Callithrix jacchus: one gene and its partner. The protein of the gene in region 2 purifies or fractionates together with the protein of the main gene of each other region. This does not show direct contact. Links are inferred from orthologs where the notes say so. Each region holds a gene or a part of one and is shown on either strand. Other genes may lie near its edges. The genes, in order: ITGB1 and ITGA4.

Region 1 (3,825 bases), on a different chromosome or scaffold from region 2:
CTCTTAAGATATCACATCTTACAACCACTTCAAGCCCTTTACTTACCTCCACAAATTAAGCCATTGGATCTATCACAGTTGAAATTATCACACTCGCAGAATTTGCCAGAATAAATTTCATTTGTATTATCCCTCTTCCTACAAACACACTGTCCACAGATGCACTCTCCATTGTTACTGCAGATTTCTGAACTGTTTTCTTTCCTGCAGTAAGCGTCCATATCTTCACTGTTGACTTCATCTGTGCTGCATTCACAATGCCTACCAACACGCCCCTCGTTGCACCTGAACAAAGATTCCACAATTGCAATCACACAAAACAAAAATAATTTAAAAGAGAAATACTAGGAGAGGAAATAAAACTACAAAAAATATCTCTGCGAGCTACCAATCTATTAGATGGGATTGTCCATGCCACACATCATAGATGTGTAGTGAAGTGTACACACATGTGCAAGCAAGGACAAATACACAGGCGTGCACATACATCCCAGTCACTCAAGTTTCTACAGAATATATGCAAGAGTCTAGGAAAAAAATTTCTTCAGGAAAGTAACAACTTTGGTGAAGATAAAAATATATCTAGCAATAAATTATGAACAACACATGTGGAAAGGCAAAATAAACAATTTTAGAGTATGTTAGTTACATTTTTAAATGGTATGCTATTACATTTCCTATTCTAGGTGAACTGTCTCTAAATTTAAAACAACAATCTATTAACCTAAAGAAATATAATAAACACATGCAAAAAAGTGTACAGAAGTTGAAGAAAAGTGTACAGAAGCTGAAAAAAACATACTGTGTATACTATTTAAAATATAATATACCATTTAAAAATAAATGTATCCTACAGGTACAGACTTTTCAGAATCCCTGTGTATTTTCAGAACATATAATGCTCACGCACACTGAATGCACTGATTCTGTATCTAGTAAATATACAAGCAAAGAAAGGCAAAGTATTTTCAAGATAACCTTTTTGGTTAAATGACATTTTACTAAAAATGGAACTGGCATGATTCAAACAAGATATGGAAAATTTAAAAATTCTAACATTTAAATTGTTATTCAGCCCAGACACTGAAAAACTCAATAGCCCTTCTAAGCCTAGTCATTTGGGGTTGACACCGGATTAAAACACTCTCCCCTCCTCCTATTCTTTTATGGAGAAGGCTGTATTCAAAGTATACTCAGTTCTTATTTTTCAATTAAAAAAAGGAACCACAGTGTGAAAATAAAATCTGAAGTAATCTTGTTAGTTTTCTTAGTATTAGATTCTACATGCTAAAAATACCATTTTCTCTTTATTTTACAACACATTATTTTTAAAATATTATTCCAACAATACAGAAGTACATATAGTACAAGATAAACATCTTCTATTGCTTTATAATTCCATTTCCCAGATGAAATCATTATCATTGGTTTGATGTTTTTTCAAAACATTTTTCTATAAATGTATTTTATACAAGCTTATTTTGTTCTAGACAATTCAGATTGCTCTCACATGAGGGAAATGCTATGTTAACTATTCGTTGAATATACTTCTTCTATGGCTATAAAAGCTTTTACTTTAAAGAGTAATTAAGCAGAAAAGGCAGGAAGGAGATTCCTATAAATATCACACATAAGATTATCAAACTGATCTTGTGGCAGGCAACCATGGTTAGAAAAAGCATTTGCTCTGAATAGAGAGATATTCTCTGGATGTCCCAAAATATGACCTGCCTCTATGCTCTAAACCAATGTAGCCCTTTCTTCCACTATCTGACAATGACCAGCTTACCTGCATGCGCCACACTCAAACGTCCCGTTTCCTTCATGACACTTGGGACTTCCGGGGATGCCTTCGCTTTGGCATTCACATTCACAGATGTACTGAAGAATAACCTCTACTTCCTCCGTAAAGCCCAGAGGCCTAATTTTAAAGGCGTCAGAATCCTTTTTTGGACATTTATTTGAAGTTATGCTAATTTCAAACTGAACCTTGAAGGGAAAAAAAAAGATCAACAACCAATTAAGCAATTTAAATCTACTAAAAATATTTTAAAAAGCTTCTCACTTAACATTTCTCAAAGTATAAACTAAATTTGCTTATAAATAAGCAATGTTTTCTTTTCTACAGAAAATGCTTTATACAACGTACCTCATCTCCAATGGAAATATTGGAACATTTTCTTCCATTTTCCCCTGTTCCATTCACCCCATTCTTGCAGTAAGATTTGTAACTTATTGTTACTCCTTCTGATAATTTGCTGTTTTCCAAAATGACTTCTGAGGAAAGGGACTAAAAGAATGCCTAATTATATACAGGAAAGTCAACAAAATGCTACTTGAATGCATAAAACCAATGGATAAACTGCTCAGAAAAGAATTATTTCAATAAAATATTTACAGGCCAAATCCAACTGAGTAACTGGAAAACACAGACGCTAGAGAAACAGGTTTTAATTAATAAAGATCCAATCTTCAAAATAAAATACACAATTCAAAGGAGTATTCCTGTTTTAATCACTGAGTTAAAATACTCAGGATCACACAGTACAGAGGGCTGTTATTAATTAGGAGGAGTCTTAAGAATGTGGAATAGGCCAGGCGTGGTGGCTCATGCCTGTAATCCCAGCACTTTGGGAGGCTGAGGTGGATGGATTACCTGAGCTCAGGAGTTCGAGACCGGTCTGGGCAACATGGTGAAACCCCATCTCTACTAAAATACAAAAAAAAAAAAAAAAAAAAAATTAGCCAGGTGTGGTGGCATGCGCCTATAATCCCAGCTACTTGGGAGGCTGAGAAAGGAGAATCGCTTGAACCCAGGAGCCAGAGGTTGCAGTGAGCCAAGATTGGTGCACTCCAGCCTGGGCAACAGAGGGAGACTCCATCTCAAAAAAAAAAAAAAAAGAATGTGGAATAAATAAATGCTGTCTTCCCCACTGGCAAAATGGTGTTTCTGTGGTCCTACCCCTCCAGCTAACTATGGACTAGAGTACACAATCAACAATGCACTCTAGGAACAAATTTGCTTAAGGAACCATTGTAGCCCAGCCAAAAACCAAAAAACAAAATCCCACAAGAAGGAGGGATTCAAGCCAGGGCTTGTTGAAAGTATAAAACTATTCAGGGCAAATGGAGCTGCAGCAGTGGCAAGCTATCTCTTGTTCATACCCCTGAAAAGACAGGAATTAGGAAAATTATCCAAGACCGGGGAGGATGGAAAATCTGTGGAACAAATGAAATCTTAAAAACCTTTGTAAAAACCCCTCTGAATCAGGCCTTTCCAAAGCATTATGGTACCCCATGGCATGAGGTAAAAATGTTTAAAATTCAAGCTGCCAAAGGGTTAGAGGGACGGGGGCTGAAAGTGGCGCATGCAACACACAGGGTTACCATAGTATTACAACTGCCTTCAGATTATTTAAGTGATTATTAATTAAGGCTAACTGGGCACGATTAAAGTATACTGAATTATGTTCAAAAAGGAGAAGCAAATTCCTCTTTAATTTCAATTCAACACCCTCCCATCTGTGGGTAGAAAAAGAACACTATAAATCTTTTTGAACTGGTGAATCATATGTTTATTTACATTTTTACAGAGTTAGTGGTATATGTATATATGAATGTGTATGCTTCCTGAAATAGAAAACTATATCCTTTGAATATATAAGAAGAGAAGAATTGGGGGGAAAAAAAGTTTCTAGCATAGTTCATCAAAATAGATGACTCTATAAAAGATATTTTGGGGAGAAAAAAGATTGGAGAAATCCTGTAAAAGTTTAAATGTAAGCTATGTTTTACAACTGCTTTCCAACAAGGAGATTTCTTGCT
Region 2 (3,825 bases):
AATAAATTGAATGCTTTAGTGTTTTACTACCTATTTATAAGCTGAGAGATTATCTTTGGCTGTATTATTACCTTGACAGTTCTTCTTTCTCAAAGAGTAATCATTGCTAAGATTTTACCCTTGCATGAAGACATAGTATGTCACAAGATCATGAGTAAAACAAGTCCAAGAAAAATTCATGTTTTCTGGTAAACAGTGTCTTAAATTTTTTAACTACAACCTGAGTCTGTTTTCCATTCTCTCAATTTGAAAGAAGTCTTTAATCATCATCATTGCTTTTACTGTTGATATAACTCCAACTGTCTCTTCTGTTTTCTTCTTGTAGGATAGATTTGTATTGTCTTTTAAAGAAGCCAGCCTGAAAATAGCATTACATAATCACTAGTGTATAGTTGTGAACACTCTTATCTATTATACTCATTTCTAATATCTAAGCAGTTAACACCAATATTTCTTAAATTGTGTCCCTTATAACATCATAAAGGTTTTTGAACAGGTAATTAGTTGGGGACATACTGGGTTAAAAAAACATTTGTTTTTAATGCAGAAATTCTCAGTGATATATGCCACATTCTCTCCAAAATTGACATTCAGTGTAATTTGCAGTCTTTTCCAAATGCATTTTAAAAAGCAACATCTTTCAAAACAAATTAAGAAGGAATCTTTTTCTAAAAAGACTTTGGTATTGAAGAGAAATGAGAGATCAGTACTGAGCAACATAAAAAAATTAACATTAAAATACTGAAAAACTTGGAAGCCAGAAACTGGCTTTGAGAAAATGATGTCACTTTGAGTAGTTTAACGCTGGTAATTCTTAAAAGCTTACCTTCCACATAACATAAGAGATCAATAAAAGTACAATAAGTCCAAGTAGCAAGCTACTTGAAATAATCACTATGGTGAAATGACGTTTGGGTCTTTGATGATGTAGTCCTTCCAGTAGAACCTACGTGAATTAAGAAAAAACATAAAAGAACAAGAAAAAAAACAAACCTACAGTTTAAAAACTTGCTTATATTTCCTTTAAAGTCCTGTCATAATCCCCAATAATATTTAGAACCTCCCAGCCCATTTTCTTGCTGGTTCTAATATAACCACAGGAAACAGTGGTAACTGTCTAGCAGAAACAGTGAGTATGACAGCCTCTATCCATGACTTTTCCTCCAATCTATCCAATACTCACTGCTGCCCAGTTCACCTCTCTAAAGGAACTGCTGTATCATTCCATCTTGCCAGTTGTGGAAAAATGCCAACTCTCAGCCAAACACTGAGGGCCCTCCATGAGCTGGTCACATTCTACTTTCCCAACTCAGTTACTCAAAAGGAAGTGATTATAGACAGACACCCTTGGAATGTGTTTTCCTATAATTTTAATGTAGCAGTTAAGAGGGTAATCTTACATGCGCAACATTCTCATCCTTGTTTAGTTCAATAACTCTTGGATTTGGTTCTGGAAAAGCTGTTGCTCTTATTTCAAACTTGAGTGCTGAAGTCTCATCCTGTTTAATAATAGATCAGGCTATGGTGATTTATTTCATGAAGACTATTAATAAAAATAATTTATCAGGATCTTTACCTTCTATTAGAGGTTTCCACAATTTATCTTCCCCAATTTACTTCAATACTTAAAATTAACTGCAGTGCTTCCTTTGGTTCCCAAAGTATGGTCTTGGTATTAATTTATATAGTATTTCATTGAAATCCTTTGATTAAACATAGCTACCCTGCAAATAACTTGATTTAAATATTTATTAGACAACAGCAAGTTACTAGTTACCAGTGTTCTCCACCCTGCCACCACATATTGAATCTATCTTGTTTGGGCTTTTTATTTCTTTGTACATTAAATACATATATAGAATTCAAATATAAAATCAGTGGATGAACTCAGAACTTTACTATCTAAAGCAGGGACTTTGAAACCCCAAATCCATGGAGCTTGGGAATCTGTGGATGTGCCTTACAAGTTCTAAGAATCTTCAGGAGATGTTTTCATGTCTGCATTTGCTGAGGGAGATGAGAATATATTCTTTAGTCAGACTCTTTAAGAGGGATATGACCTTTAAAACCACTGTGCAAATGTGATTTAACATTTTAGAGCCAAAAATAAATGACAAACTTCATATAGCCTAGAGCAATAGTTCTCAGCAGGGAGGGTTTTTATCACCTAAGGGACAGGAATGTCTGAAGAAATTGTCAAGTGTCAGAATGTGAGAGGTGGTACTACCAGCAGTGAGTGTGTAGATGCTGAGGATGCTACCAAATATCTTACAATGCACTGGATAGCCCTTGACAACAACAATATCTGGTCCAAAATGCCAATTATGGCCACTGAGGGGAAACCTAGACCTAGAGAGAAAGAGAAGGCAAATTGCAAAAGGTTAAATGACTTCCTGGTGGTCTAATGACTTCCCTTTTAGCACAGTTGAAACTAGAATGGATATTTCTTCTTTGCCTGTCTAGTGTATCTTCGTCTTATCCACTGTTTGGTAATTTCAAAAATCCCACTTGAAACATAACAGCTGCTATTTCCTTTGGCTTCCTTTGTGCCATGAACTATTACTAAGTGCTTATAAAAATCATCTCATTGGCCGGGTGCGGTGGCTCACGCCTGTAATCCCAGCACTTTGGGAGGCAAAAACTGGAAGCATTCCCTTTGAAAACAAGCACAAGACAAGGATGCCCTCTTACCACTCCTATTCAACATAGAATTGGACATTCTGCCCAGGGCAATCAGGCAAGAGAAACAAAGTGTATTCAAATAGGAAGAGATTAAGTCAAATTGTCTGTTTGTACATGCCATGACTGTATATTTAGAAAACTCCATGGTCTCAGCCCCAAAACTCCTTAAGCTGACAAGCAACTTCAGCAAAGTCTCAGGATACAAAATCAATGTGCGAAAATCACAAGCATTCCTATATACCAAAAATAGATAAGCAGCCAAATCGTGAGTGAATTCCCATTCACAATTGTTACGAAGAGAATAAAATACCTAGGAATACAACTTACAAGGGATGTGAAGGACCTCGTCAAGAACTACAAACCACTGCTCAAGGAAATAAGAGAGGACACAAACAAATGGAATAACATCGCATGCTCATGGATAGGAAGAATCAACATCGTGAAAATGGCCATACTGCCCAAAGTAATTTAGAGATTCAATGCTATTCCATCAAGCTACCATAGACTTTCTCCACAGAATTAGGAAAAAAAATACACTTTAAATTTCATATGGAACCAATAAAGAGCCTGTATAGCCAAGAAAATCCTAAGCAAAAATAAAGCTGGAGGCCTCATGCTACATGACTTCAAATTACACTACAAGGCTACCAAACCAAAACAACAGGATACTAGTACCAAAACAGATATATAGACCAATGGAACAGAAGAGAGACCTCAGAAATAACACCATACATCTACAATCATCTGATCTTCTATAAACCTGACAAAAACAAGCAGTGGGGAAAGGATTCCCTATTTAATAAATGGTGCTAAGAAAACTGGCTAGCCATATGCAGAAAACAAACTGGACCCCTTCCTTGTACAAAAATTAACTCAAGATGAATTAAAGACTAAAATGTAAAACCCAAAACCATAAAAACCCTACAAGAAAACCTAGGCAATACCATTCAGGACACAGGCATGGTTAAAGACTTCATGCCTGCAACACCAAAAGCAATTGTAACAAAAGCCAACATTGATAAATGTGGTCTAATTAAAAGGCTTCTGCACAGCAAAAGAAAGTATCAGAGTGAACAGGAAACCTGGGAGAACATTTTTGCAATCTACCCATCCCACAAAGATCTAACATCCTGAATCTACAGG

The links.
Region 1: the proteins of ITGA4 (region 2) and ITGB1 purify together in Homo sapiens (co-immunoprecipitation; 4 studies listed by BioGRID and IntAct, with this or other methods). This does not show direct contact. The link is inferred for Callithrix jacchus from reciprocal best matches to the Homo sapiens genes ITGA4 and ITGB1.

Annotation. Positions count from the first base shown.
Region 1 is NC_133508.1:32,606,010-32,609,834, forward strand, and holds part of ITGB1 (integrin beta-1), read right to left. Parts: intron 2,291-3,825; coding exon 2,150-2,290; intron 1,990-2,149; coding exon 1,790-1,989; intron 286-1,789; coding exon 47-285; intron 1-46.
Region 2 is NC_133507.1:47,527,745-47,531,569, forward strand, and holds part of ITGA4 (integrin alpha-4), read right to left. Parts: intron 1,500-3,825; coding exon 1,401-1,499; intron 947-1,400; coding exon 827-946; intron 359-826; coding exon 260-358; 3' UTR 1-259. UniProt on the Homo sapiens protein: Integrins alpha-4/beta-1 (VLA-4) and alpha-4/beta-7 are receptors for fibronectin. They recognize one or more domains within the alternatively spliced CS-1 and CS-5 regions of fibronectin. They are also receptors for VCAM1.